Linked DNA regions of Lonchura striata. The protein of the gene in region 1 interacts with the protein of each later gene in a biochemical or structural test. Links are inferred from orthologs where the notes say so. Each region holds a gene or a part of one and is shown in the gene's direction. Other genes may lie near its edges.

Region 1 (9,800 bases):
CGTGTCCCCCATGACTCTGATGCTGGAAGTGGCAGGGAAAGATCATGTCACCCCTGCACAGGCTGGGACCTCATGGCATCGCTGCCAACCAAAACCTTTGCTGCAGCCGAGTATCCCTGCAGCACTCTAGGGCCCTTTCTGCTCAGCAGCTGGGTAGCACCAAGTAGGTAAGAAATGGAAAATAATTCTGTGCATTGTATCATGAGCAAGAGCAGAATGGAGATGCAACAAGTACCCTTGGAGATCCCAAAGGCCAGAGGCACCAAACCCAGCCTTGTTTTTAAAAGCATTAAAGAGCTTCAGGCTGTGTCCATAGCATGTCCTGCAGATGGATCTGTGTCTGGATGGCTTGGGGGTGGCTTTGAATCCACACGCACGCTAATGGTGTTTTAGAGGGATGTGGCCAGCACAACCTCCCCTGGTATGCTGGTGAACTGGGAAAATTGATGACCTGCAATTTATGGGATCCTGCCTGCCAGTCCCAGCTATGCGCTTCAGAAACCCTCCAGAGTTTTTTCTTCTTTTCAGCTGAGCAAATATGGAAAACCTTGAAATGTTGGAAGCAACCTGACCTGCTGGAAAAGGGCAGTGTGATGGCAGTAGCCAAGAGCCTCGACGCCCCTCTGCTGAGCTCGTGGCAGCATGGTGTACCCAGTTAAGCTTGAGGATGCTGGGCTGCGGTGCCAGCTCCTGGCCCAGCAAGCTGGGGCAGGCTTGGCGGGATGGCTGGGAGGCAGCCTCCAGCCTTGGCTGATTCCTGGCTTCCTCCACGCTCCCAAGCATCCCGCGTTTTTGCTGGGTTGGATCATGGATTCTTCGCCTCTTTCCTGAAGACGAGGAGTGATTTACAGGTCTCCAGAAAACACAGCTTGGCTGCTTTGGAGGGAAAAAATAAAACAACCAAAACCCCTCTCTGCTTGCTATTTCCATTGCCCAGTCACCTTCCCACAAAGGGGGGTGCCCCAGGACCCGCCAGCCCTCAGCCCCACCAGCCCTTGATGTCCCCGGCAGCCCTGCACTTTCTGCAAGGAGCAATGTTCTCAGATGTGGCTCCATCTTTTGAGACATTCCCACCTTGAGCTGTCTTCTCTGGGAAGCTCACACGTTCTCCATGGGTTGGGACCCACCCTGGGCATTTGCTTGGGGTAATTTTGGCCCTATAAGGAGTCACTCATGGCCAGAGCATCACCTCACCCTGAGGAGCTCCCCCTTCCCTGGCTGCCTGAAGGGGCCCCTTGTGCAGCTGAGCCCCAAACAAGGCTCCAATTGTGTCTGTGTGTCCTGATGGTCAGGGCTTCTGCCATGGCACCCGTGTGCTGGGGCCATGGTAAAACCAGCTGTGTCCAACCCACACCCACAGGCTCAGCTTTACTGATCTGCTGGGGTTGGTGGGGGCTGTTACGGGGCCACGGGAATCATTAGAGAGAGGTAACACTGTGCACTTAAAGCTGCTTCAGTGAAAGGGACACAGGAATAAATGTTGGCTCTCAGCATGGGAGGAGGGTGAATGCTGGCTGGCTGGGAGTGCATCCCGTAGCCCCAGGCTGTCCCGAGGACCACAGTGGGATTCATGGACAGAGCTGCCATCGGGCAAAGCGTGGCAGCTGGGAGAAGGAGGGACCAGAGCGTGGAGCTGACCTTAGGAGCATCTCTCTGCCGCTAGGGCAGCAGTTCCCTGAGGGGCAGAGCTGGAAGGTGATGCTGGCAGCACCATATCCTCTTCTCCAATTTGTTGTTTTCAGCCTCTTCCCACCTTTCCTTCAGAGCAATGTCCCACCAAGCAGCACAGTGGGGATCTGTTTGCAGTGTTCAAAAGTAATGGGGAGAAATGGAGTGGACTGTGGGTCTCCCACCCCATTTGAGGGTCTCCACCCCAGGGAATCCTTGTGCTGGTGGTGGGCACTGGCACTGACATTTGAAACTCAGCTGATGGCGATGGCACAACCCTTCCTGCTGTCAGCCCTTCCCGCTCCCAGCAGTGAGCCCCAGCTGGGGGCGAGGATCAGCGCCAGCCCTCGCTAGGGGATGAATGGGGAGACAAACAGAGCTGCTACTGTTGGGGCAGCCTGAGGCCTGCAGTCTGCCTTGGCTTTGCTGGAGATGAGGGGGTGCCTTGCAATCCTGTTCTTTGGAAAGGCAAGCAGCCTCCCCCAGCATCTTCCCTCCACAGCAAAGCACCAACCCAGTGCCACAGAGAAGCACGAGGATAAATCCTGGTTGTGATCCTGTTGGGTCCCGTGATATTACAAGCCAAAAGAAATGTCCTCATTATTTCCAGAATATTGAAGTCTAATAAATCCTGTCCTGCCTTAAAGGATTTATTTCTTCATTCATTGCTAGGAGACTCAGTCCTGTGTAATCCTATTGCTGCTCCAGGAGGTGGGGAGCAGCTTTCCAAAGCACAGACCTGGCAGGGCTGTGGGCAGGAGCAGGAAGCCCCAGCCAAAGCTGCTGGTCCCAGCAAACATCCCAGTCCCACCCCATTTTCCTGGTATGTCCCACTGTCCCAAAGCAGTGCCCTGTGTTTGATTCACCAAAATGAATCTCAACCAATGTTTGGGGCACAGCTGGGCCAATGGGACATTAATTGGCTGCTAGCCAATTAATATGGCATGGTTCAGCACAGCTTGCTCCCCCTGTCCATTGTACATCTGCCATGCTCCCCCAGATCTCACTTTGGAGTCCTCCTACGCCTTCTCACACCATATCCAGCAGGAAAAGCTGCAAAAAGCCAGGAATAGCTGTGCCCAGCACAGCCAGTCCCCTGCAGCCACAGCAGCAGCCTGCCCGTGCAGAGCCAGCCGTGCCTGGCTCACCATCCACCAGGGACCTCCGGAAGACAATGACGGACACATGAATATGGCTGGAAATTTTGCCACTGAAGTGTTTTCCATAGCAACCGTTGCTGGGGCAACCTGCATCCCAAGGAGCATCCATCCCGAAACACCCAGCCCCGTGTCCATTGGAGCTGGCAGGGAATCACGGCGTGGGACTGCCGGGACCCCCAGCAGCAGCAGCACAGGGATGCTCTGGCAGCCAATCCAGCTCTGAGCACCCCCAGCGCTGCAGGGCCCCTGTAATGCTCCACTTCTCGTCTTCTTTTTGGCATTTCATTTTCTCAAAGGTAGCAGAAGCCTAAGGAAGACCTGCTGCTGCCTGTTGCCCCATGGGTGCTTGGCTGTAGGGATGTGCAGGAGCTGTTGCCAGCTTGGGGTGCTCAGCAGGTGCAAGCAGTGATTTTTGGCTCTGATGGACCAAAAATGGGATTGAGTTTGACAGTGAACACTTTGATCTGAGCATCAACACAGGGAGAGGGAAAAGTGATGTTCCCACTGCTTTTAAGTCCAAAAGCAGGAACCTTATGGCCCCTCAGCACCTGCCTGAACTCGTATGGTGGCAGCTTCTCCCTGGGGACACCTCAGGGATCCCAGGAGACTCTCACTGCTGGCCTGGTGGGCCCACACCAGACTCGGGGTCTCCAAGGCAAACACATGGGATTCATGGGATCAGCTGTAGGGTGGCGGAAGAGAGGCTGGGGAGCCTGGAGCCCACCCCAAGGATGCCCACGGTGCTCATGCCTGCGCTGTCACCACTGTCACCAACAAGAGGAAACCGCAGTCCTCAGGCTGCGCCCGCCGGGGCAGCTGCGGTTTGCGGGCGCAACCACAGTCCCTGCCAGCGGATGTCTCCCAGCCACAGCTGTGCCTCAGTTTCCCTTTCTGCCAGTGACACACAGGGACACTTGCCTCCAAGCACTGCTTTTTGGGGGAGGGCACGTGTTTGCAATCTGGCCTCAGCTCTGCCGCCCCACCCTGGTGTGGCCTGAAAGTAACCCCGGAGGGTGAGGGGAAATGCGTGATGGGGATGGCAGCCAGGAGGCATGCGCGCCCAGTCAGGGCACATTCCTGGCCTGTCTCCACCCGCACCACTCACTCACTGGCCTCACACAGGCCCACTCATTGCCTACTTGCCCTTGAGCTCAGTGGCTGCAGGCACCCCTTGTGTCCCTTCCCTTGGTTCCCTGTGTGCTCTGGCTCTAACACACTGGGGGAGCAGCATGGGTGTCCATGCAGCTTGTGCATGTCCACAGGTCCTGTGCCCCCATGCAGATCACACATGCGTGCCTGCCACAGCTCCAGCTGCAGCCATGACCTGCCAGACTGCTCCCAGCTCTCTGCAGATGATGGCAGGGACTGTGGTACATCACGCAGTGATGCCAAACCCAGCCTTACCAGCTGTTGGGGTGCAGATTGTGGCCATGTAGCCAGGCCATTTGAACAGGCCAGACAGGCTGCTGTGGTGTGCCACAGGTACTGTGGTGTGCCCTGTGTGCCAGGTGTCCCACGTGTGCCAGAGTGTGCAATGTGTGCCATGGTATGCTACATGTGCCAAGGTGTGCCATGTGAGCCATAGCACCTACACTACCCATCACCTTCCCCTTGTATCCCCCTGCTATTACACACCACCCCAGTACACCCCAGTACACCTCAGTACACCCCAGAACTCCCCAGTGACCTGTTAGCCTTTATTGCACAACCATTGCACACGTGTTACACACCCGCTAACCTTTAATGACCTTGTACCATTTCACACCTATTGCAGAGCCCGTCTCCTTCATTTGCACATTGCATACAGCCTTTGTTACACACCAAGTGCAGGCTCACTACAACACCTGCTGCACACGCTTCAGTGCACACCTGTTGCACGCCTGTTCCTCTCCCCTTACCCTTTGTCGCACTTGGTCACAAACCTTGGCCAGTGTCACACCCCCTTGGCCAGTGTCACACCCCTTTGGCCGCTGTCCCACCACTTTGGCACCTGTCCCACCCCCTTGGCCAGTGTCCCACCCCCTTGGCCAGTGTCCCACCCCCTTGGCCAGTGTCCCACCCCTTTGGCCGCTGTCCCACCCCTTTGGCCGCTGTCCCACCGTTTCACTCCCCTCACCCTCACCTCACGTCGCTCACCCCGGCCCTGTGCCCGCCCCGCCCCTCACGGGCGGCCCCGCCCCTTTCCCGCCCATCGGGCGTGGCCCCGCCCCCGGGCGGGCTCAGCCAATGGGGGCGGGCGGAGCGGCCGGGCCGGGCGCGCGCGGCGCTATAACGATCCCTACGGCGCCGCCGCCGCCCGCGCGCCCCGGCCCCGCCGCCCCCGGCCCGGCCCGGCCCGGCCCCCGGCCCCGCACCCGGCCCGGAGCGGCCCCGCGGGAAGATGAACTACCTGGTGAGCGGGGGCACGGGGCAGGGCACGGGGCGTGTGCGGGGACAGGTAGGGCGCGGGGGAACGGCTGCTGGGGGGCCCTGCTGGAGGAGGAGGAGGAGGAGGAGGAGGAGGAGGAAGGCCTCAGCCCCCGCACCCTCGGCCCGGGCACGGCCTCTCCCGTGCGGCCGATCCCACTGCCGTGACCTTGGCCGAGCTCCCCCGCTCCGAGCCGGCCGGGCCTTGCCTGCCCCCCTCCCTCCCGGCGGGTCAGGGCGCCGCGGGACTCGCGGGGCCCAGCGGGGCCGGGGGCCTCCCCAGGCCTCCGCCCCACCGGGCGGGGCGGCACCGGCGGCGGGCAGGGCCGCGGGGCAGCGGGAGTCCGGCCCTGCCGTCCCGGGCGAGCCGCGGCCCGTCCCGCCGCCGCGGCCCCGAGCAGCGCTGGCAGGTGCCGCCGGGGCCCGGCTCGGGGACCCCGCGGGGCGGAAGGGGCCCGGGACCGACGGCGGGTGCCGAGCGACGGCCACGGCCGCGGCTGACTCACCGCCCCGGCACTTCCTCCCAGCCGGCGAGGGAAGGGGCGGGAGAGGCAGAGGAGGCCCCCCGAAACCGGGGAGGCGGAAGGGCCCGGCCCCTTCCCAGCACCTCCTCTGGGAAGGGTGGGTTTTGCTCCAGCGAGGATCCCGCGGTGGCCGGAACGGGGAGCTCCAGCTGGCGGGAGCCGAGCGGCGAAGCCCCCGGCCCGCGGGGCTCCGTCCCGGTGCTGAGCTGCCGCCCCGCATCGCCGGGATGACGCCCCACCGGCCGGCGGGGCCCGGCTCACCGCCCCGGCGCGGGGCTCTCTTCCAGAACGTGCTGGCCAAGGCGCTGTACGACAACGTGGCCGAGTCCCCGGACGAGCTCTCCTTCCGCAAGGGCGACATCATGACGGTGCTGGAGCGCAACACGCAGGGGCTGGATGGCTGGTGGCTCTGCTCGCTCCATGGCCGGCAGGGCATCGTTCCCGGGAACCGCCTCAAGATTCTCGTGGGGATGTACGACAAGAAGCAGCCGCAGCAGCAGGCGCCTGCCCCGGCACAGGGGCAGGCACCACCGCAGCCATCTGTACCCCAGCCAGCTCTGCCCTTCCACCACCAAGGGGGCTACACCCCGCTGTCATCTGCCTCGCAGTACACCCCCATGCACCCTGCTTATGGCCCCCAAGGGGACAATGTCTATCTGATGCCAGTCCCCAACAAGGGACAGCAGGGTCTGTACCCGGGCTCAGCACCCACTGGACAGTTTCCTCCTGCCCCAGCTAAGCAGCCTTCCACTTACCCGAAGCAGGCACCTCCCCATACCTTCCCAAACCCCAGCCAAGAAATCTACCAGGTTCCCCCCTCCCTGGGCCAGGCAGCAGAGGCGTACCCAGGGGGCTCTGCCAGTCCCCCCCAGGATGTCTACCAGGTTCCTCCCTCAGCTGGTCAGGCTCAAGAAATCTACCAGGTGCCACCGTCATTGGACATGAGGAGCTGGGAAGGGCACAAGCCCCAGGGAAAGGTAGGATGGCGAGACTGGAGTGGGAGTGTGTTGTGTTTGTGGGGTGCTCTGTGGTCCAGGGGTACAAGTGGGTGGCAGAGCTTGGGCTTCTCAGCTTGCTACGCTTGGAACAAGCAGCATATGTGCCCATTGCTGGGGTTGTGTGGGTATCTTTGCCCACACTGCTGGCAGGAGTGGGTGCACTGGAGAGTCCCTGCAGTGGCTGAGGTGCCCTGGTTGGTGGGAGCTATCCCTCTTGGGGCTGGCACAGCATTCAGCACTCTGGTCCTTGTGGTCTCTTATATGGGCTCTGCTGGTATCACCCAGGGCATGGCAGTGTGTTTGGTATGGGCACAGAGTGTTGGTAAGCCAAGAGCTATTTTGGAATGCCAGGTGTTGGAGCTGTGGAAGGAGCTGTGGTACCCAGCACAATGCTGTGAGATTTTGTTCCTCCTGGGAGCGTGCACAGGAACAGACAGGCAGAGCCAGCATTTCCTGACTGTGCCAGGCAGCCTGCAGTACTTGCTAGGTACACTGGTGAGGGAAGGGTGAGCCACCAGGCTGTCCCCAGCATGGAACCTAACGGCTCCATCCTGGACACCAGCCTGCTTCTGGCTCTGCCCCTACCCTGGCACGTCATCCCCGGGAAGAGGAGTGAGGTGCTTTCAGTATCGTGTTTTCCAGGAAGGCTACTCCAACTCATACCCCTGGGAAGCAGGCAGTGAGGGGAGGGAGCTGCCAAATCACAGCCAGGGCACAAGGAACATCCGAAAAGGAAGAAACCGGCCCAACACCTCAGCCCTCCTTGGCATTGGTTGGGCAGGGTGCCATTACCCTCTGGGTTTGGTTATTTTCCGCTCTGGTGTCACCATGAAACGACCCGTTCAGGCACAGAGCTGTGGGTCGGGAGGGATCTCCGGGCGCTGGCAGACCCCAGCCCATGCCTGGATCGGCCATTGCTCTCTGCGTGCCACGGCTGTGCCGGCCGGGCTTTGTCTCTCGCTGAGACTCTACGCCGCTATAAATAACCGGTGATATCATCCCGGCACCGCCGCAGCCCGGCCGGGGAGCGCCCTCCCGTGGCACCGGGCACACCCTAACTCCAGGCAGCCCGGTACGGAATCCAGCAGCCGTGCTCTCTCTGGCCCCGTTGCCGGGTTTTGAGGGAATGATGCAGGGTGGGAGATGCTCAGTAATGCCCACATCATGTCTTTTCCCTCTTTTCAGGTGCTGGTGCCCACCCGTGTGGGCCAGGTGTATGTCTATGATTCCCCCAAGGGTGAGCAGGTTGAGTACGATTTCCCTCGCCACCTGATCTCCACGGGCTCCCAGGAGATCTATGATGTGCCACCTGTCCGAGGAGGGGTCCCGAGCCAGTTCAGCCAGGAGGTGAGGCTGCTTGGGATGTCAGGGGGACATTTCTGTTTCTGCTCTTAAGAATTGGAGATCATCCCCAGGTCACTATGGATCTCCAGGTCACTGCCTGAGATCCATACCAGGCTAAATTGCACCCAAAACTATACTTCATGGACCTCAGTGCTGCTTCTGAGCACCTCAGCTGGTCCCTGAGGGGAGGTGGGTGGCCACACCATCTCTGACACGTCATCCTGTGTTCCCCCTCTCCAGGTCTATGACACTCCTCCCATGGCAGTGAAGGGTCCCAATGGGCAGGACCCAGGGCAAGAGATCTACGACGTGCCCCCCAGCGTGGAGAAGAACTTGCACCAAACTGTAAGTGCTGCTGGGAAGCTCCCAGCTTTGTGTAAGAATGGCAGACAGATTTTTACACGGAGAAAAGTAATTTACTAGATCAGTCTCCCCAGAGATGTGGTGATGTCCCTGGCACTGGAGGCTTTCAGAATGCCAAGGAATGGGTTGCTGGATGTTCACATCCAGGGGATGAGGTTGGACCAGATGATCTTTCAAAGTCCCTTCTAACCTGGGCTGCTTTATGATTTTTTGCTTCCTGTCCCAAAGGGCAGGGGCACCCCTGGGGTGCATGGCTTCATCCCAGGGCCATCTTGAATGCTCAGTGCTGTCACTTGCATGCTCTGCAGCTTGGGGCAGCCAGCCTGCATCTCCACACCTACCCCAGGCTGCCTCTCCCTGCTGACAGTGCCACTGCTCTGCCCTTGCAGGTGTACGATGTCCCCCCCTCAGTGAGCAAGGACGTGCCCGATGGCCCAGCACGGGAGGAGACCTACGATGTGCCACCCGCCTTCGCCAAGCAGAAAACCTTCGACCCCTCCCGCCACCCCCTCATCCTGGCCCAGCAGGAGCCCTACTTGCCAGAGGATGTCTATGATGTGCCCCCGACAGCTGGGAAAGGTGCTCCTGAGCTGCCACTCTCCCACGAGATCTATGATGTGCCCCCCAGCCTCAAGAAGCTGGGGGGATCCACCTTCCCCTCCCAGGAGGTGTATGATGTGCCCCGGGACCTGCACGCCCCAGGCAAGGGCTCTGTGGACACGGAGGGCGAGTACATCTACGACGTCCCACCACAAGTAGACCGCGAGGCCAAGGGTGCTGATGCCAAGCGCCTCTCGGCTTCCAGCACAGGCAGCACCCGCAGCAACATCTCCACATCCTCGCTGGACGTGGTGCCTGTGAAGGAGCCGGCTAAGGGAGCCGGCAAGGAGTTCTCCCTGGACTTGGATGCCGCCATGGAGACACTGGCCAAGCTCCAGAGTGGCGTCAGCAGCGCTGTCTCCTACCTCATGTCCTTTATCAGCACCAACTGGCGCAACCCCGAGCACATGGAGGCCAATGCTGCCAACATCCGTGGGGCAGCCGACGGTGTCCGGACAGCCCTCCGGGACCTGCTGGAGTTTGCCCGGGGGGCAGTGGGCAATGCTGCCCAGGCCTCTGACCGTTCCCTCTACACCAAGCTCAGCAAGCAGCTACAGAAGATGGAGGAGGTCTACCAGGCCCTGGCAAGGCACGGCCAAGCGCTGGACGCTTGCCACTGGGCTCCCAGTGCTCTGGCCAGCAGCAAGCTGGGCACAGATGACTTGGAGCACTTCATCATGCACTCACGTGGTGTTCCTGATGACACTAAGCAGTTGGCTTCCTTCCTGCACGGCAAT
Region 2 (10,175 bases), on another chromosome or scaffold:
GTCAATAGATAAGGTATCAACAGGCTGAAGGAGAAATTACAGGTGAAGTACAGCCATTTCCATTTCCGTTCAGCGTTAAGGGAGCTTGATGTCTGGGCTGAGAACAGCTGGTTCAGGCGGGAGGCTGGAGGCACAGAGCAGATAACTCATCTCAATCATCAGCCAGTGCACACTGAGAAGGGGTTTGGTTTGGGTTTTTTTTTAGCGCTTTAAAATATTAACAAAGACCTGAAAACTCTGCCTCTGAAGGCATTTTCCAGGCTTTGCAGAACCAGGTAACTGTCACTGAATAACGATACAGCTGTTCTCTAATTTACACTGACAATTGTTTCACCTACCTGGCAGGTCAGAGAGAGCACCAGCAGCCCTCCATCACCACAATTATGGATTGTGCAATTTCGTTTTCATTTGCGAAAACATGGATAGATGCAAGCGGATTTCAGAAGAGCCAGTGTGGGTGAAACCATTCCCTCCCCAGTCCCACCACCCTGCCCGTTCTCCAGCGCAACGCCTCCTCCTGCACACGCACAACTTCTCCCTTCTGTTTATTTTTTGTTTTAAACACTCTAAGCAGAAATTGACTTTGGCTGCTTTTCCTGAACTCTGAAGTGTTTGAGCAGATAAGATTCAGATAACCCATTAGAAGAAACGTTCCTAGGTCCCTCTTCTCCTGGCAGGGGGTCACCAAGGCCAGCCATGCATCGAGGTTGCTTTGCCCTGCAGAAGGATTTTTCTGTCTCATTTACTTTTCAAATTGGGCCAGACTTTTTTACTGTATCTCACTTGTAAAAAATGTTCCAGCTGAAAGATACTTGTTTATGTGCAGTGCTGGGGAAACACAAAGTGTAAATCTCCCTGCTGCCATCCCAAATCCGGTGCTGGTTTCCCAAGCAGTTTTATTGAGCCCCTCGGACTCAGCAAAAGGGAGTTGATCTGAGCTCCTCTTCCATTACAGAAAATAAATAAAGAGTGAGAAAACTCTCACACTCTAAAAGCTCTAAGATGTGCCTCCAGAAAGAACTGTTCTTTAGAGGACAATATGAAAATAGTCACACTTGTTTCAAGGAAATACTGATTAAAATAGATAAGATTTTATTTTCCTATTTTTTTATCTTAAAGGCTTACCTGAAATGAGAAGGCTTTTGTTCTCTTCCTAGACAAAAAGGAATTCAGGCTGTTCTTTCCACACAAGATATTTGTTGTAACTACAGTCTTACTTATGGCTGGCATGCATTTTGTCACAAAGATAATAGTAATAATAATAATAATAATAATAATAATAATAATAGTTGTTATTACTGCTGTTATTACTGCTGTAATTACTACTACTACAAATAACAACAAATTTTAGAACACCATGGATCACTGAAATTATAGAATTAGCTGGGGTGTCTCAGGATGGAGTCTTGAGTGGTAATACTGGTTTATGGTACTGATATTTATCTTCTTTTCTCCTCCTGCCCCAGCATCAACGTGTTCTGTAGTTCTGGAAATATTGTTTATGTGCCAATGTGGTTTACTGTACTAGAGACCTAGTCATGCCTAAAGCTAATCCAGAAGAAAAGTATTTTTTGTGGGGTGTGGTTTTTGGTGGTGGTGGTGGTGTTTTTGGGGGGATTGGTATTTTTTGAAGTAGCTGTGTTCCCACCTCCATTCCCAAGTGCAGCTGCATGAACACTGGGGCTGGCAGAACTGCAGGGGTGGGATGCCACAGAAACCAGCAGCGGGTGCCAAAGGAGGGGAGGCTCGGTCGCTGCTGCTGCCACACACTTTGCCTTGGATACCCACCTCAAGGGCAGTCAGAAAATCATAAATAAACTCCCTTTGCTCCAAGCTAAGGCTGCTGGCAGCAAGGAACTCGGGGCAGACTGCAAAACCCTGCAGGAATCCCAGGCAAATCTGCAGTGACACCAAGGACACTACTGTCTCAGCAGGAAACCTTTGCTGTGTCAGTAACCACATTTGAGCTAATGCTCCCTGCATTTGTAAAACCAGCAGCCACAACTTTGAATGAAATGCAGACATTGAACATCTTCAATGTGAGGGAAAAAATATTTCTGCTTGCCAGACTAGAGATGTGCAGACTGGAGCACTCACCGTTCTGCAGCCCGGGGAAGCACGGGTGGAAGTGATTCCAGACTCAGGGATGCTGCATCTGCTGCAAGGAAAAAGGATCACTTAAGGAAAAGGTTGCTGAAAACATTCTCCCATTAATCTAAAACACTACATAAAGGATAAAACAGTGACTGAAAGCCTGGGGATAAATTACCTTACAATCATAAACATACACACATCTCTCCTGACACTAGAGAGTCCATCACCCCTGAGTCCCAACTGCATTTGGAAATCTTTATTTAAAAAACTAAACAATCTGGCAAGATTTCAACATAGACCTCTCAAAGCCTAATGCTGTGAAACTAAAGCCAGCTCTGCAAGTGTAATTTTACTCTATTATCACATTAGTAATAAAAAAAGTCTTCCTAATCGTTACTACTTGACTTAAAAATCCTGTGTACGAGTGAAATCCAGGCTGTGATGGCAACGAGCAGTAAGGGCTGGAGTGCCATCCAACGGTGAGATATAGTCACTAACAGCTGATTAAAGATCTCTGCCTCCACCTGCTCCTGCCACAGCAGGGTATGAAACGCCCTGTAAAACCCACGGAGGCTCTGAAAGATCTGAACCAGCAGAAGCTGCCCAGGCACACACACACACAGAAGTTATTTTCCTTTAACAGAGGCAGTAAGCAGAGTTTTTGGTATTCTAGTCTTGTTTGCAGCACTCAAGTTCCATCCCATCCCATCCCATCCCATCCCATCCCATCCCATCCCATCCCATCCCATCCCATCCCATCCCATCCCATCCCATCCCATCCCATCCCATCCAGAACTTCTGTTTCACAAAAGCTAAAGCCTGGCAGCTGCCAGAGCAGCGAGCCCTGGGGCTGGCACACCCTGCCACTCCACAGTGCAGTTCGTGTATTTGTGTATTCCCAGCTTTCTCCATCAAGATCCTCTGAGCTGTGGAGGATGAAGAGAGGATATGAAATGTAGGATTGAGTTTGGACAAGCACCCGCCTTTTTTATGAAGTAGAAATAAGTAACACGATCCAACCCTTTCCCCTGAATTCTCATTGTCATTTTAAGAGCCAGGCTCTAGTGGACAATTTGAAAACCAAAACCTCTGAATCAGGCTACACTGGGATGAAAATACAGTGTGCCTTAAGTTGCACAGGTTGGAATTGTTTTGGGAAGGGACTGCCTTTCTCTGTGCAAAGTGCAAGAAGGGTTGTGTCCTGAGAGCACAGAACATTTTCATTTACCTAATCCTCCATTATTATATGGATCTGAGTTACCAGTAAGACTTTTAATCTCTTCTGTGTTTTATTTCCTGCAATCCTTCGCAGATTTTGCAACTTTTAGTATTTTGTAAGGTAGATCATAAATTTCATAAAGGCTCTTAGGAAATTTTTTGCTGCTCTGCATATGTGCGGAGGCACAATTTGAGGATTAAATATGTATTAAAGGGTGAACAAGTTTGTAGGGCACAGATGTCTGATCCAAGTGGCCATTTTCAGCTCATATTCTTGGCTGGAATGTATTTCAGACCTTAAGCTCTACTGGGACAGGTATCCCTGGCACATGTATCCAAAAGCGTGGAGCCAGTTGAGTCCAATTCAGCACTTGTGTAAATCCCCTCTGGCTTCAGCTGAAGTTATAAATCCAGAGATTAATTTACCCTTTATCCATTGCAAGCCAGGACTGAAAATTTAATGAAAACAGACCTTCCTGTAACAATTCCAATCCAGACATTCCTACCACCTTTCCTAGTCTATCCCAACCATCAATAAATTTTATTGTAAGATGTTTATTTTTAAAAAATCTTATAATAATTTATACTGTGTAATATTATATTATTTATACAGTATAATATATATTATTGTATAATAATTTATACTACAAAGTTATATACATTTTTATACTAATTTATACTATTTGTATATCATTTGTACGGCTTCCTACTAAGCAGGAAATAGTTCAGAAGCCACCAAAGAAACCTTACAGAAAAGCCAAACTATGCCAGGGCCAATTTTCCCTGCAATTTTAGACGGAAATACTCGGCCAGCGGAAAAGTACATCTTTACGAGGAGGAATGGGAAGAACTAGAGTAAGAACTCGCAGGAGGAGCTGTGCCCTGCCTCCGGCGCTGCTGCTGCGGGAGGAGGCGCGGGCGGCGAGCGGGGCTGGGTTCCAGCACTCCCGATGGAGCAGTGACACCCAGCGGCTCCTGCCCGCTGCGGGCTGCGCTGCTGCACCGGGCTCTGCCGGGGCTCGCTGCTGCACCGGGCTCTGCCGGGCTCCTCCGGGGCTCTGCCGGGCTCTGCGCTGCTGCACCGGGCTCTGCCGGGGCTCGCTGCTGCACCGGGCTCTGCCGGGCTCCTCCGGGGCTCTGCCGGGCTCTGCGCTGCTGCACCGGGCTCTGCACCGGGCTCTGCCGGGCATCTCCGGGGCTCTGCCGGGACTGCCCTGATGGAATGGGCTCTGCACCGGGCTCTGCCGGGCTCCTCCGGAGCTCCTCCGGGACAGCCGCGGCTGCGGGCCAGGGAAAGGGGACCCCGGCCTGAACATTACCTGAGGGACCCCGGGCATCACACACCTGAGACCCCAGCCCAAACACACCTGAGAGACCCCGGCCCTCACACACCTGTGGTGATCCTGGCCATCACACACCTGAGGGGCCCCTCAGCCCTCACACACCTGTGTAAGTTCTCAGCCCTCACAGACCTGTGTAAGTTCTCAGCCCTCACAAACCTGAGAGACCCCTCAGCCCTCACACACCTGAGGGACCCCTCAGCCCTCACACTCCTGTGTAAGTTCTCAGCCCTCACACACCTGAGAGACCCCTCAGCCCTCACACACCTGTGTAAGTTCTCAGCCCTCACACACCTGAGGGGCCCCTCAGCCCTCACACACCTGTGTAAGTTCTCAGCCCTCACACACCTGAGGGACCCCTCAGCCCTCACACTCCTGTGTAAGTTCTCAGCCCTCACACACCTGAGGTACCGCGGTTGTGACGTGGCTCGCTGAGCCTGGCATTGAGTCCCCGTCTGGCTTCTGATTGTCGCATCTCCTTGTCCTCACTCTCATCTCTGCTCACCTGCCCTGTGCAGGTGTGTCCCAGCCGAATCCTTCTGCCCGGTGTCCCCGCTGCCAGGCTGTCCCCACTGCCGGGGGACACTGCCCGGCTCCTGTCCCGCTCCTGGACACTGAGGTGACCCCAGCCCCTCACAGCTGCTGCTGCTCCCACGCTGAACGAGACCATTGTACACATTGCCCGAGGTCCCTCAGGTGTGTGCTGGCCATGAGCTTCTCGCCACCCTTCTCAACCCCTTGACCACAGCCTCTCATGATTATTCTTACGACTAAACAGCAATTATATTTACCTACTAAACAACCATCACGTCTAACAATTCTATCACTTAGCCGCACAGCTGCGCTTCTAGCAAGCACACGGCCTACACTTTCCAAGGATGTATCTCCCAGAGCCCACTAAGCTTAATTTCCCTTCCCGGGCGGGCACGGCGGGGCACGGAGGGGCACGGAGGGGCCCGGGCAGGGCACGGCGGAGCCCGGGCGGGCACGTCCGTGCCCGCCCGAGCTCCGCCGTGCCCTGCCCGGGCCCGGGTCCCACCGCCCCGGACATGGCGTCGGCGGGGCGGGTGCGCAGTTCCGGCGGCACCGTGAGGGCGGGGGCCGGGCAGAGCCGCCGCGGCCTCGGCAGCAGCTGCAGCCGGAGCGGCGCTGGGGGGCCCGGGCCCCCTCGGGGTGGAGATGGAGATGGAGAAGGAGTTCCAGCGGCTGGACCAGGCCGCCAGCTGGCCCGCCATCTACCAGGTGAGGGGCAGCGCCCTGCCCGGTTCTGCCCCGGCCGCGGGTGGGGAGCGCTGCCTGCCTCCGCTCGCTGCCTGCCGCTCGTTCTCTCCGCCGTGCCGCCGGTGCTGCCCCGGCACTGCCCTGCCCTGCCCGGCTCCCCGGCGGGCCGGGCCCCGCCGCGCTGCCCGCCCGGAGCTGCCGCCGCGGGCGCATCCTCAGCGCGGGGACAGCGGAGGAGCCGCTCCGGCCGCCCCTCCGAGCTGCCTTCGGCTCGGAGCACAGCAGCATTTCGCTTTTCAGGCGCCTTAATCATAGAACAGAGCCTGCAGCAGCTTATTAGCAATACTCCTGCAGCTAGCTGCTGGTGGGTTTTTATTGTGTCGCTTGCTGCGTTTAGATTTTTTTCGGGGGTATTTAAAACAGCGCCGTGACAAACGTTAACGCTTGCAGTAATATTTGGCTTCTGGATCCAGCTGAGCATACAAGCCACAGAAGTTGGTGCTTTTGTCTTTAAAAGTTCTTCACACCTTTATCTAAAATGAAGTTTAAGAGAAGCTGAAATACGTGAATGACTGGGCGGATGTGTTCAGTCAGATCAGGCAGCATTGCTGTAACATCCATTTGAATGTTTAAGCTGGTATATTGCATAAATGAATGACTTGAAGTTCATGTTTGCAACATAGATGTTGAGCTTTGTTTCTTTCAGTGTGAATTTCTCTGGCAATAGACCATGGAGAGGAGTTGCATAAAAGTGAAATAAAAGGACTTCAGTTTCAGAATAGTAGCATGCAAGTTGTAACAGCAGTAGCTTGCAGGGTGAACATCTTGAGTTGTCTGGCCTTTAGAGAATAAGCATGACATGTTGAGCCTGCTTTTCAGAAGGTCCATTTCCTACATTTCCCTGCCGAGTGTCAGTGCTTGCCGACTGTATCAGTTGAAAGTCATGTGGATATATGACGTTATGTTTTTGCTGAACCGTTCTGGATGATTTGGTGTGTTGCGAGCTTAGTGCTCAGGAAATGATTTTGAGTAACAGAGCTTTGTAATTTAAGTAGTACATTTCTACAGGTACAATTGAATTACAGAAGTGAAATATCTACGTCGAATGAGGGAATGGCCCATTTTCAATGAGGGATTAGCATTCAGTGATATTTTTGTCCTGCTCTCTTTGAATGATATGACTCAGTGGCCTGCTCAAACTGTAGCACAGCATGAGCTTTGATTGAGGACTAAAATTCAGTTTAAAAAAGGACTGAAGTGATTCTTTGGTTTGCATCCAACTATTGACAAGCACAGGGGGTGGGATTTCTACTTGTTTTTTTTTTTTCCCCTGATTGATTAGTAAATATGTGCATCTATGTCATGAAATTCAGTTTCTCAACTGCATCCTGCTTTTAAATAAGCTGCTGGAAATGGCATCTTGGCAGGTCGTGTACATCTGGAAGAAGAAGGTGCTTCTCCGTGAGCTGTGCTTTTCGTGTCTGGGCTGTGACATTAGCAAAGCAGTTTTCCTACAATGCTGGCTTTTGCATGAAGAATGCAGTAAGTAGAGCAGTGTGTGTGATGGGTGCAGAAAAGCATTTCCCCCGGGGTAATTGTACCACGGCCTTCTGGTACCTCAGCGTTGGGGTTGTAACTGCTGGAACCCAGAAACATTCCCCAGTGCTGCAGGTGAACATTTGCAGCTTGCCCGTGTTCCTTGCCTGTCTGTTATCTGGAGATACAGCACAGCGGCTCCAGGAGGAATGAGCCTAGACAGGGAGGTGTGGCTAAGGGAAGGGAGACTGCCTGGGTGCCACATGACCTGGAAGGGTTAAAATTGTCCATGCGTCTTTTTTTTCAAGGAGCGGAAGCTGTGTTCAGCTATGATAGTACAGTTGGGAAAGAACAGAATTTAGATGATCTCCTTTTTTCAGCAGAAGTAATCCCAGCATGGGGAGACACAAACGCTTCAAAATGAAGACCTTGTTTAGGTGATTTTGTGACGATCAAGTCTTGGGCACTGCACAATGGTGGAACCATTCTCTGTACAGCTGGTCACAGGGTGAACAGTGATGAAGTTCTTTGCGTTTTGTTACTCTAGGGTTTTTTTGAATGTTTGTTTGGTTTTTAATACCTATTTCTATCCCATACTTTCCTCTAGATTTGCTTGTTAAAAGAACTACGAGCCATAAGATTCTGTGGAGGCTGTTCAGGGACCCAAGTGAGAAAAATAATTGCTAAGGTTCTGGCTGTTGTTTCTGTTTTAGAGAAACCTAAGTGTAAGAAAGGCGCATTCGAATTAAAATCCTCTTCCATAAAACCATAAGAGGAAAGTGAGCTTTACCATGTACTAACTGTGGTAAAGGTGTGCAACAGAAAACAGATTCTTAAGGGTAAGTGAATGACATGCACCCTGCAGAAATACCATTAGAAGTATCTATTGGAATGAGAAGCTTTCACTCCGGAGATGTCACAACAAAAAACCCGTACCCCAAAGCTAAGGAAAGCACAGTTTAAGCTCTTAGAGGAGGAAAGAAAAGTAGATATTTGTCCAGAATATCAAAACAACTGGATGGATATCATGAAAACAACAATGACTGGATTGTCATTTGCTCACAGTGAGCGCAGTATCAGATTTTCATAGTAATTTCACATGCAGAAGCCTTTCAGAACTTTAGAAGATGCTTTAGTTTCTAATTTCTTACACAGGATGATAGAACGAGATATTATCTTAAAAACACATCCCTTAAATACAGATAGAGTTGCTTCTTGTGTTTAAAGAAACCAGATATGTTGACTTTAGTATGTTGGCCAATGATATTAACTTTGATGTGCTTATCAGGAGCAGTAAAAACACCTCTGAATTATTTACTGATGTACCATTCAACTGGTGATTCCATCCACTATGGGTGGAGGCAGAGCTGACATTTGGGGACTGCTCATGCAGAGTTTTCCATGTGAAGGCAGCAAAATGAAAATAAAATGTACATTCTTTTCTAGTTTGTATAGTTAGTGGAATATATAATAAGAACTGGATATAGTTTAGATTTTCCAGCATGTTTGGAAGTGAGTATCCTTCCAAAACCTATCTCTGGAAAACTGAAGTGTAGTTGGAGTTGGGTTTGAGGCCTGTAAATAACTGTTCTCAGTTTCTTTATTCATTTTTTAAGGTCTTTTAACCAAATATTAACTTGAATGTTTGAATGCTTCAAACCTCTCTAAGCTAAATTAAAATACTACAGATTTTGAAAATTAATGAACTTTATTCAGACTATGGGAGGAAGATAGGGATCGTGGATATTTTGGATATCCCTCTGTCACAACATAAAAGGCATGGGAAGCTTTTTAGATACTCACTGTCTCTGGAAGAATATTTATAGAATATTTTCTTACGTAGATGGATTTTGATGCTGGAAGTAAACTGTGAAATGGTTGACCCTGAAGAATTGTAACAGTGTGGTTGTGTTGTGTGTTTAGGGTCAGTGGAAGGGAAGCTTTAGAAGTGTTGTTGGTTTATAAGCTGCAGCAGGAGTGCAGGCTGCAGTCTGAAAGCATTTGGGTAGCTCCTTTGCTCAGGTGCTAAGCAGCAGATAAATTGTGGCACGAACATGACTTTTTATAAATGCATCTTTGTGCTTTATTCTGCCAGTTCTAGCTGCAGGTCTCTGCATGCAGTGCCTTGCCACTGCTTAATTTGTGCTCTGTTGATTCATTTGAGGCTCAGCATAATTGGCTCTGGCTGTAGAAAGCTGGTTTAGGGCTCAGGGTTGCAGGGAGTCTCTGTTCCTTCGGTAAGCTGAAGATATTCCATGTTTTCCTGTGCTGTACGCTGAGTCTTGCTGCGTGTGTGCAGGGTTAGTGCTGGACAGCAGAGTGTGGCTCACAAAGTCAGGGTGCTCCCTGGAAAGCAGAGCTGCTGCTCAGCTGCAGGGGATGGCACCTCTGTGCCCTCGGGGCACTGTGCTTGGGCTTCAGTGCTGGCTCCTTCACAGCAGCGCCAGCCGTGTCTCCTGCTGGCAGACTGGAGATGGCCTAAGTCCCCTTAGATAAAGCTACTGAGCCACTTGCTTTTTCTACAGAGTTTAAAATCAAATACTGGAACCCAGAGCTGCTGTGATAGTCTAGCTGGAAGCAGAGCATGGGAAAATGGAGCCTGTTATGGTTATCATTTGCTAAAAGTTTAGAAATCATACAATGCACACACAGTGCTCACCTGCTTCTCAGCATTTTTGGACGGGTTTTATGGTGTTAGTATGTTCTTTCACACGGTATTGTTGCTTCCTCTGTGTGCTGCAAGCACAGATGTATGAAAGAAAACTG
Region 3 (9,889 bases), on another chromosome or scaffold:
CCAAGACTGCAGTAGCTGAACTAATGCCAGGAACTACAGCTGAGAAAGATAAGGCACAGTAAATCCTTCCTTCATGGGACCTTAAAATAATTGATTTCTGACTCCCATCTTGCTTAACATTAGGTTAGAATCTGATACAAATTCTGAACCAGTGTGATACTGAATACTGTGAGATCCTTCCTCTTGGAGGAGTGGAGTATTCAGTGCACCAGAAAATCCTGAAAAACTCCCAAAAGCTTTTAAATCTTAGAGCAATACTGGGGTTGCAGAAAGGCAAAACCAGTGACAATCAGAATGACATGGGACTAGACAAGTGTCATCACATTGTGACACACACTGCACATGGATGTGCTACTTCAGAGAAATGCATTAACTTCCTGGATATTCCCCCTGCTTGGGGATATTCTATTTATGGAAGCAAAGATTATTTCAAAACAGACCTAAATTACTCTGCCTTAGTAGACCGGGGTTCTGGAAAAAGATTAAAGGGTATTTGAATTACCTGCATTAAACTTACTTCTTTAAATGAGTTCAATAGCTTTTTCTTGTTAAGAGAGGCATTTGTTGGACTCTATTCAGCACTGTCAATTTTCAGCTCCATCTCTGAACCTTTGCCAATGGCAAATAAAACAAAAGTCCTGGTAACTGCAGGAAACCCTGATTACAAACTTTTTCAGAGAATACTTTTTTGATAGTGAACGCTGGACTGCACACAGGGTCTGGAAATGCAGGCTTTATTACACTGCAATATTAGAGACTGATAAATATTCCTTTTTTGCCTACAGAGTTACTTGTCATATGTAGGAATTAAATGTAGCCTTCAGATATAAGGACATACCTCTCTGATGTGGGAGTCACTAGAACCACTCCTTCCAGACTGTAAGTGGCAATTTGTTTCCTCTGCAAACAAATTATTATTTCTAACTGACATCTAACTCAGTGCAGTGCATTTTCCATTTTAACCAGCATCTCTAGACAGACCAGTGATGCCCTGTATCATACAAAGATACAGGGTTATTCTTGTTATTTAGATGAAACCTTACTTAGCCTCTTTAACAATGAAAAAAGAATTAATCATTCTTTGTCTAGCTCCTTTTCCTATGTGTACCGCTAGAGGGTATTACTCACTGTTACAAATAACCAACCTGAGAGGCTAATTCTTAGATTACATACGAGAATAGAAGACATTCATGAGTAATTAATGAGCCAAAGAAACATCTTGAGCAAACTTTGGGGAGAGTGGGTGTTCCAGCTTCTACCCTGTCACTCCTTCTGTGTGTGAATACTGATTCTAGAGAGCTCATCCACATTCCATTTATCAGCATATGCTATTTTGTGATTGCATTATTCACTAAATGTTGCAGTTGGATGCTCTGAAAAGCTAATGAATATAAGGCTTAGAATGTAGTTGCAAGGAAATTACTTAAAGCAGATGATCATCTACCTTAGCATTACATTATTTTTCTCTTGTTTTTACTTATTTGAGTGATTTATATATAATATATATATTATATATATATTTATTTATATTTATATATAATATAAATATATTTGGTATAATAACCCTAAGTTACTTGAACTAATCCTAAGGGCAGGTAATACTTGGTAAAAAAACAACTTTTTGCTTTCATCCCCAAAATTTATTTACATCTGACGACAATGTGACTGTTGAAAGTTACAGTATGCACTATCTTACTTGCATGTATTTCATTTAGGTAAAAAACCATGGAGTTTAGCTCAAACCATCCTAATCATTTTTTAGCAGTAGCTCACTTTAGGCCAGCATGTCCTTTTTTCAAACTAGCACACAGGCTAAATAATAATAAAATTGCTTTGCTTTAAAAATGTAATTTTCTTTTACTCAGCAGACATAAATTACTTCTTGTTTACTACCATTACCTATATAAACAAATCGCAGGAAAGATTACAGGTTGATACACAGGGCTGTAATTATTATTGATTGGTTTTCCTATCAAGAATGATGCTTCAGGAACTGAACTTTCACAAGCCCACTTAAGCTTTGTTACCTCAAAAGAAACATGTACTCATAGGGATTTCAAGCTGATTCTAGGTTGTTTTTTTTTATATATAACTTCTCTGGTGTCCTAAATATGTCAGTCTTGTATCTGACAGTAAAAGGCTTTTTTTTTTTTTTACAGTAAGCTCCCTGAGCCAGTATAAAACAAGACATTGTGGACAGATGGACAATGAACTAAGAAAGCTGTAAGTTATTTCTGGTCTGTGAGAGAACAATCAAACAGCTCTTCCAGAAGTGAGTGATCAAAATACCAACACTCAAACTGCTGATACATTAGGAAGTCCAGAAGAATGGTAATTAGCTTTCTTGATGATCTATTTTCCTATTTCCTGCCAGCACAGAGGTAAAGCTGTACAGGCATATTTGCCAGATTTGTAATTAGTGGACTTGTATCCTGAAGTATTTCAGGCTTACATTTTCCATATTTGCAGAAATGATTGTGATTGCTTCAGTTTTGTTTCATAACTGCTTTCACTACTGTATTTCTTCTCCAGCTGTCTATTTCCAAATCCAACATATCCTTTCCCATTTTCCTCATAGTTCAAATTAGGGTCATTAATTTTGTATTGGAAGCATACCCAGTACTTGATTTGAAATAAAATAAGGATTCTTATTCTGTAGCCTTGGCAGAAATGTACTTCTCCTTACTTAGGGATGAGCCACATGTACAATTTATTTGGAACTCAGCCCAATTGATGGGATCTGGTGAAAGGAAGAAGCTTCTGGTGAAAAGGAAGAAGGAACAGCTGGCACAGGGAAAGAGGTACAGGGCCTTCTCAAGGGAATATTCTGCCAGCTGAGGTTTTGTTTCATGGGCAGCTGATGCACTTTTGAGCTCCCCCCTGCATTACAACTGGCCATGCTCAACTGCCAACAGGTAAAGTCAAAGAGCATAAAGGTATTTATATGTACTAAAAAGGCAAAGTGGTACCAGACATTCATCCATTCTTCCTAAACCAAATGCATTTGTAGGGATGTAATACACCTGAGATGATTGTCTGTAGTCTAGGAAGTTGAAGCACAGTCTTATCAGAAAGCATTAATGATGAACAAGTTAACTTTTGCTCATATGGAAGATACGATATGAGATATCCCTCATATGTGGGATCTTTTTCCTAAAATACCTGGTTTAGTTTAACCCCGGTTAATAAAACAGAGGGAATTACTTGAAGGATGCACACAACCTGCACATATACAAGTTCAGAATATCTAATTTCAAAGTTCATTCAAACTGAAAACCTCTCCATGCCTTAGAATCCTCTCTGGATGGGAAGGTGGAAGCATTGGTTCTTCAGCAGCAGTCCAGCCCCATGCAGTACTGCACAAAAACTGGTTTAGAATACTACTTATTTCTGACCTGTTCAAACTATATTGAGATTCTAGTATTATCTGTACAAAATGGAGGCAAAATCACTATACATATTTGATTTTTATTTTAACAAAAAATGTAATTCAACAAAATGAAGCCGCAGGAATTTTTATTTCCTTTTTATATACTATGAGTTACTAAATGTGCTGCTAACTTACAGCTTTTATAATTATTTTTAAATGTTATTTAGTATATTATTGCAAGTTCAAGTGCTATCTTTTAATCTGTATTTTGGCCATGGTCAAACAGAAAACAAGCCAGATCTGTTCAATGACACAAGAAAACATCATAACCTTCATATTCTATTATAGCCTGTCTACAAGTGTTTAAAACTGGCTGTTACTAGCAGACACAAGCACTTAAACCAGGAGGAATGGATCAGAGGTATAGCTACTAAGTAAGATTTCCTAGTAATGGACAAAATTTTTTTGCATAGATGTGAATTTTCAGATGTAATTATTCATCTCTAGGTCACTGTTTTGCTGTACATGACTAACAGCTGTTGTTTTCCACCCAGGAGATGGCTGTATGTCAGCAGCTGGTAAAACGATACCTGCTCATGAATTCAGGGGCTGCTTTAAGATCCTTTCATCTCAATGATGAGACTTCTCCTGGATGGCTTTGTCTAAATCATGACACTGGAGAAGTCTTCCATTTCAGATTTGAACTCTGCTAAATGTCTGCAGAGACACAGCCCATATGTTCCAATCCAGACACCTCGGTTGGCACTGGTTGCCAATGGAGGATGAGGAACAAAGGAAAAATATGACTATGTAATGACTGAACTTTTGGAAAAGGCAGAGCATGAAAGAAAGACAGCAAAGCTGGAATAACACTGCACAACAGTCCAGCTAAGCGCTTCAAGACAGACATCTTAAATCTATTTCTCATTTGAACTGGCTTTTTTTTCTTTTTTTTCAAGTGCTGCTTCATTTCACATTGCCAGCCCTGAAGCAAAATGAATTAAAAAAGCACAAATTAAACGAAGTCACAAGGCTGAGCTAAAATCACACCGTTCTCGGAGGTTTCTAGCACCTCCGGGGAGGCAGCGCAGTTTTTCTGCCGCGCCCCCGCGCAGTGCGGCCGGACGGGCCGAATGGCGCTGCCGGCCCCCGGGGCGTGAGTCAGAGCCCGGTGCCGGTCTGGGCTCCCGGCGCCAACCTCCTCTCAAATTCAAACAGCTCATCCGCACCATGTGCCAAGCGCTGCCCCCGAGCCCTGCCGAGGCCTTTCCGGGCCTTCCTTCCTCCTCAGCGGCTGCCACACCATCTTCCCTCCCGCCCGGGCCAGGCCGGGCTTTGACCCCGTTATCTGCGAACAAAGCTACGAAGAGGCAGGAAACGGCCCCTTGGAGCACGTAGGAAATTATCTCGAGATCAGAGATGATTATCACGGCGGGCCGTTTTGTTCCTTAAAAGAGAATTAATTAACTAGTAAAAACCAGCAAAACCTCAGGAGAGGTGGTGTCTGTCTGCAAACCGCCTGGGGTGAGGGTGCTGGCACCCCTCGGGTCCGGGAGCAGCGAGAGCAGCCCGAGGCAGTCCCGGGACAGCGGGGAGCAAAGCCCGGGGCTGGGCGGCACCGAGCAGGGAGAACGTGCCGAGAGGGATGGGGGGAAGATGGAGGGGCCCCCTCAGATACCTGAAGGCCAAGGGCTGGGGAGTTTCTGGGGGGTGTCCCGCGTCAAAGCGCGCCTGCAGCACTGAGGGAGCCCTGCCCTGTGAGGGGATGCGGTCACCCCCGCCTCACTCACCGCACCGAGCGGGGGTGCACCGGGGACGGCTTGAGTGACTCTCGCGGAGGAACGGGGAAGGGGCGGCCGTGCCGCTCCCCGGGGCGCCGGGACGGGGCTCCGGGGCTCGAACCCCCCGCCCGGCCCCTGAGGCGGGCGCGGCCCCGCGCCGCCGCCGCCGCCACGGCGCGTGCGCGGGGCGGTGTCTCGCGGCGCTCGCGCGGCCCGGCGCAGCCGCCATTTTGGAGCTGGGCTCGCGAGGGGAGGAACCCGCGGGAGGACGCGGCGCCCGGCGCTTCAGCCTCCGCGTCCCGCCCCGAGCCGGGCCGGCTCCGCTCGCCGCCTTCCCGGGCCGCCCGCCCGTGCCAGCCGCCGCTGCTCTTCGTCACCCGCCTGGCCGGGCCCGCCGCAGGCCTGAGAGAGGCGGGAAGGATGCCCTGCACACCCCGCCGCTGAGGGAGACTCGGGGGCCCTGCGCGCCGCGTCTGGCCAGCCCCACCCCAGCCGCTCCTCGGCCCTTCGCCTCCAGCGGCGCGGAGCTTCCTTCTCCCTTATCCCCCTTGCCCTGGGTTTCCTTTCTCCTGGACTAAGCACGAGCCGCTTCCCGCTCGCCCCCAGCCCGCTCCACCTCCCAGGCCTCTCTGCCCAGGCCTCCTCCGGGTCTCTTCCTCCGCCAGGGCCTCCGGGCTCCTCACCTTCCTTCCTCCCTTTCCTTCCCCTTCCCCGCCCGGAGCCATGTCCTCCGCCGCTCGTTTCGATTCGTCGGACCGCTCCAGCTGGTACGTGGGCCCGGTGTCCCGGGCGGAGGCGCAGACGCGGCTGCAGGGGCAGCGGCACGGCATGTTCCTGGTGCGGGACTCGTCCACCTGCCCGGGGGACTACGTGCTCTCGGTGTCCGAGAACTCCCGCGTCTCCCACTACATCATCAACTCCCTGCCCAACCGCCGCTTTAAGATCGGCGACCAGGAGTTCGAGCACCTGCCCGCCCTGCTGGAGTTCTATAAGATCCACTACCTGGACACCACCACGCTCATCGAGCCCGCGCCCAGGTGAGTGTCCCCCGCCACACCCACCGCCACCTTTGCTCCGGGTGGCGCCAGGAGGTGCGACCTGTGAAGGTGTCACAGCCCAGCCCAGGAGCTCCGGAGCCTGGCACTGGGTGTAGATGCTATGAATAAATACTAAGGAAACGTTCGTTGCTAACGCTGAGCCTTAACGCTCTGGATCTCCCCGACAATTAAAAGTGTTGCTCTTTCCGTGCAATCATCCACTCTCCCTGTGCTGACCTTGTGTGTAAAGGTACCATGTACATCTGCCACGGGCTGAAATGGCCTTGAAAGAGGGTGTGGTCGCACGTCACCCTTTTTGTGTTACTCTCTTCTTCTAGCATTGTCTCTCTGTTCCAAGGATGGTTGAGAAGCTGGTTCACCAGTCCTCTCCGTGATTGAAGTACAGCCTCTGAGCTTAGTTTGCTGTCTACCCCTGCACCCACACCGATTACAATAGGACTGGCTTTTATGTGATTAGACTGCTTTGCCCTGTTAAGTCAGCGTTAATACATAGGGCAGCATTTCCCAAACTTTTAGAGTGGCATTTCTGCACCAAAAAAATGTAAAACACTTATTTTCTCACAGATTGCTTATGGTACTGTTCATCTATATCTGCATATACCATACACTTCACTGAGAAATGCTGTTCTAGGAGGATGGGAAAATGTGACTTGGCTATGAGCTCCTTCTTTGTCCTGGTCCCAGCATGGGACATACCTGCAACATACATCAGTAAACTGCTTATGAAGACTCCTATAACATATTCCTTACTTTTAATTAATAAAGCCTTTCTCAGTGTCTTTTGTCAAAACTTTTGGGCTTCCTGGAGAGAATGAAATTAAATTAAATAAGAGAAAAGTAGGGACATATTGAAAAAATAAATCCAAATTGGTTCACTTCTGAATTTTAATATCTTATTATGTTTTGCAGATTAGCAAGTTCTTAGGAGGGAAGAATAACTTTTAGGTTTATAATCACAATTGAACCTTGGCCTAGACCAGTACTTAATGACAGTCACTTGTCAAAGATTGACAATAGCTTGTCAAGTTGAAAACCCAGGTGTTCAAAAGTCACTCTGAAAAGCTGTTAAGTGATGGGCAGGATGTGACAAAGCACAACCTTCAAGAACTATTCAATCTGCTGGCAGCCTTTTGGGTAGTGATTGTGGCTAGAGAGATGGGTAGATAAAAAAAATGGTTTTCACCATTGCAGGAATGCTTAAATGGAGCTGCCCAGTGTTATGTGCATGCTTAAACATGTGGAGAGTTGGGAAGAAAAAAAGTCTTATGCTGAAGCAATCTTCATGGTTATCTCTGTTCTCTTGAACCTTTCTGGATGCAAAAACTTGTTCATAATCATTTATGGCCATGACTGGCTTGGCTTTCTCAAAGCACTTGAGAACTTGGAGCTGATTGCACTTGCACACTTGGTATTTGTGGAGTTTGAGGAGTCCTGTGTGAAATGTTCTGTGAACATTTTAGTACCACCTCATTTGCAACGTTTTGGTTGCATATTGTTCTCTCAGCACACAGACAAATGGGACCTAATCTGCAGGGAATTGACTTTTTTAGCTTTTATATAGAGCTACAAATGGGATTGACTAGGTCTTTTTCCTTACAATGTCTTTGTTAAAACTCTTAGAAAAATCAGTTATGTGGTTGATGGTTTTAAATTCTGTGCAAAGGAGACTTCCTGCTGCAAGAGGGATGATGAAAGGTAGAATTTCCAGATTTTTGGTGGGTTTTTTTTAAATTTTTAGTTAATAGACTAGATTTAGAATAGGGGTGGCCAGGTATGTGCGTCAGAACTGTTATGCTAATTCTTATTTTTCTGGCATTTTCCTGGGCACAGATGCTTGTGCTTTTGAAAGCTGTTCATTCTTAATTTCATAAAGTACAGTCTGAAAGGTGGTTTCTATATAGAGCCCTACAGTACTTCTAGATCTTAGAGATGACATCTTAAACTTTTAAAACAGTCCTAAATGGACCGTTTTAAACTTTGCTTCTTTTATGTCTCTAGTAGTGAGCTCTGACCATCCTTGCTGATGTTTCTGAGCTCTTGCTTATGCAAAGTAATTGTTCCCTGAAGGGTTCCCTCTGTCCCCCTGCTTTGGCTGCAGCAGGGTGTCTGAAGATGGAATATCTTTATCTTCAGGGCTTCTGGCATATCTTGCAAAAATCACAGGGATTTGACTTCCATCATATTTTGCAAGTAGCAAAAGAGAATTGAAGTAGGTTAATGACATGCATCCTTGCTATCATAGCTTAGATAATAAGTATCTGCTGTGGCCTATATCCACTAAGGTTTTTTTGACAGCTGCTTTGAATAAAATGTATAACATTTATGATGAAAATAATGAAATCATTCTCATTTGATGGACAATCTTATATATTCTCACAGACAACAATGTGACTGTATTTGACAAATGATGGACATAGTAATAAACAATTACGTAAATAAAGTATAGATAATATGGTTAATAGGTAAATAGGCAAAGGAATATTTATAGAAGGCTAGCTTTTTTTTTTCTTAGTTCCTTCTTATCAGTGGATGCAAGTATTTCATACTGTCTTTATGAAGATGTCATACCATCTTACTTTTGTTCCCTTTTTCCTCTACAGTGTTTCAAGTCTAGCATTTACTTACTGAATTCTTTAGAAGTGGATGCTGAAGATAAAAACAAAATTATCTGGATGACTTTGGAGGTGGCAAGGGACTCTTGGAGAGATTCATAGCTACATTTTTATGTAATGCCCTTCCACCTCAATCCCCCAGATAGTCTTAATTTGGTTTTCTGTATCATTACTCTCATAACTTAAATTATAGAATTAATTTGACTCTAAGATCATCACAACAATCCAGAACATGTGGTTGAAGATTTTGCATGATTTCTCCAGTTTTCTGCATCCCATGATAGATTATTTTGGGCTTCTGGGGAGGCTACTTAGGGTGTTTAAGTCATTATTTGAGAAGTGTGAGTTACTCATGAAATGCCTCACAGTGCTACCAAGCCAATGATTTGGTTACAAACCCAAGTAATTAATCCTTCTCTAATTGATGTTCCTGCTGCAAACCTAGTACTTAGTTTGTTACTGGAAATACAAACCAAGCTGTTACTTTTACCAAATCTTCAGGTATCCAAGTCCACCAATGGGATCTGGATCTGCCCCTGCCATGTCTGCTGCAGAGGAAAACATGGAGTGTGTTCGGACTCTCTATGACTTTCCTGGCAACGATGCCGAGGATCTCCCGTTCAAAAAGGGCGAGATACTGGTAATTGTAGAGAAGCCAGAAGAACAGTGGTGGAGTGCCAGAAACAAGGAGGGTCGAATTGGGATGATTCCTGTTCCCTACGTAGAAAAGCTAGTCAGATCTTCAGTTGGGAAGCATGGAAACAGGAATTCCAACAGTTACGGTATTCCAGAACCTGCCCATGCTTATGCTCAGCCTCAAACCGCAACTCCCCTTCCCTCAGTATCCAGCACACCTGGAGCAGTGATCAATCCTCTGCCATCCACACAGAATGGACCAGTCTATGCCAAAGCTGTCCAAAAGAGAGTACCCTGTGCTTATGACAAGACTGCGCTGGCATTAGAGGTAAGTTTTTCCTTCAGTCTCAGAGTTTTCAATTGCCTTGTGAAAGAAGAAACTATGTTATGGTGAAGTTGATGTGGATGACTTCATGTGGAGTCTGTTTATTT

Evidence for each region.
Region 2: the proteins of BCAR1 (region 1) and PTPN1 form a complex in vitro, tested with the Homo sapiens proteins (3 studies listed by BioGRID and IntAct, with this or other methods). The link is inferred for Lonchura striata from reciprocal best matches to the Homo sapiens genes BCAR1 and PTPN1.
Region 3: the proteins of BCAR1 (region 1) and CRKL interact in a test that uses a peptide from one of them, tested with the Homo sapiens proteins (2 studies listed by BioGRID, with this or other methods). The link is inferred for Lonchura striata from reciprocal best matches to the Homo sapiens genes BCAR1 and CRKL.

What each region holds. Positions count from the first base shown.
Region 1 is NC_134615.1:15,778,621-15,788,420, forward strand, and holds the start of BCAR1 (breast cancer anti-estrogen resistance protein 1), read left to right. Parts: upstream 1-5,985; coding exon 5,986-6,735; intron 6,736-7,941; coding exon 7,942-8,103; intron 8,104-8,340; coding exon 8,341-8,445; intron 8,446-8,852; coding exon 8,853-9,800. UniProt on the Homo sapiens protein: Docking protein which plays a central coordinating role for tyrosine kinase-based signaling related to cell adhesion. Implicated in induction of cell migration and cell branching. Involved in the BCAR3-mediated inhibition of TGFB signaling.
Region 2 is NC_134619.1:1,087,807-1,097,981, forward strand, and holds the start of PTPN1 (tyrosine-protein phosphatase non-receptor type 1), read left to right. Parts: upstream 1-5,741; 5' UTR 5,742-5,831; coding exon 5,832-5,894; intron 5,895-6,110; exon of another isoform or gene 6,111-7,403; coding exon of another isoform or gene 7,404-7,415; intron 7,416-10,175. UniProt on the Homo sapiens protein: Tyrosine-protein phosphatase which acts as a regulator of endoplasmic reticulum unfolded protein response. Mediates dephosphorylation of EIF2AK3/PERK; inactivating the protein kinase activity of EIF2AK3/PERK.
Region 3 is NC_134620.1:3,750,845-3,760,733, reverse strand, and holds the start of CRKL (crk-like protein), read left to right. Parts: upstream 1-5,455; 5' UTR 5,456-5,874; coding exon 5,875-6,188; intron 6,189-9,322; coding exon 9,323-9,785; intron 9,786-9,889. UniProt on the Homo sapiens protein: May mediate the transduction of intracellular signals.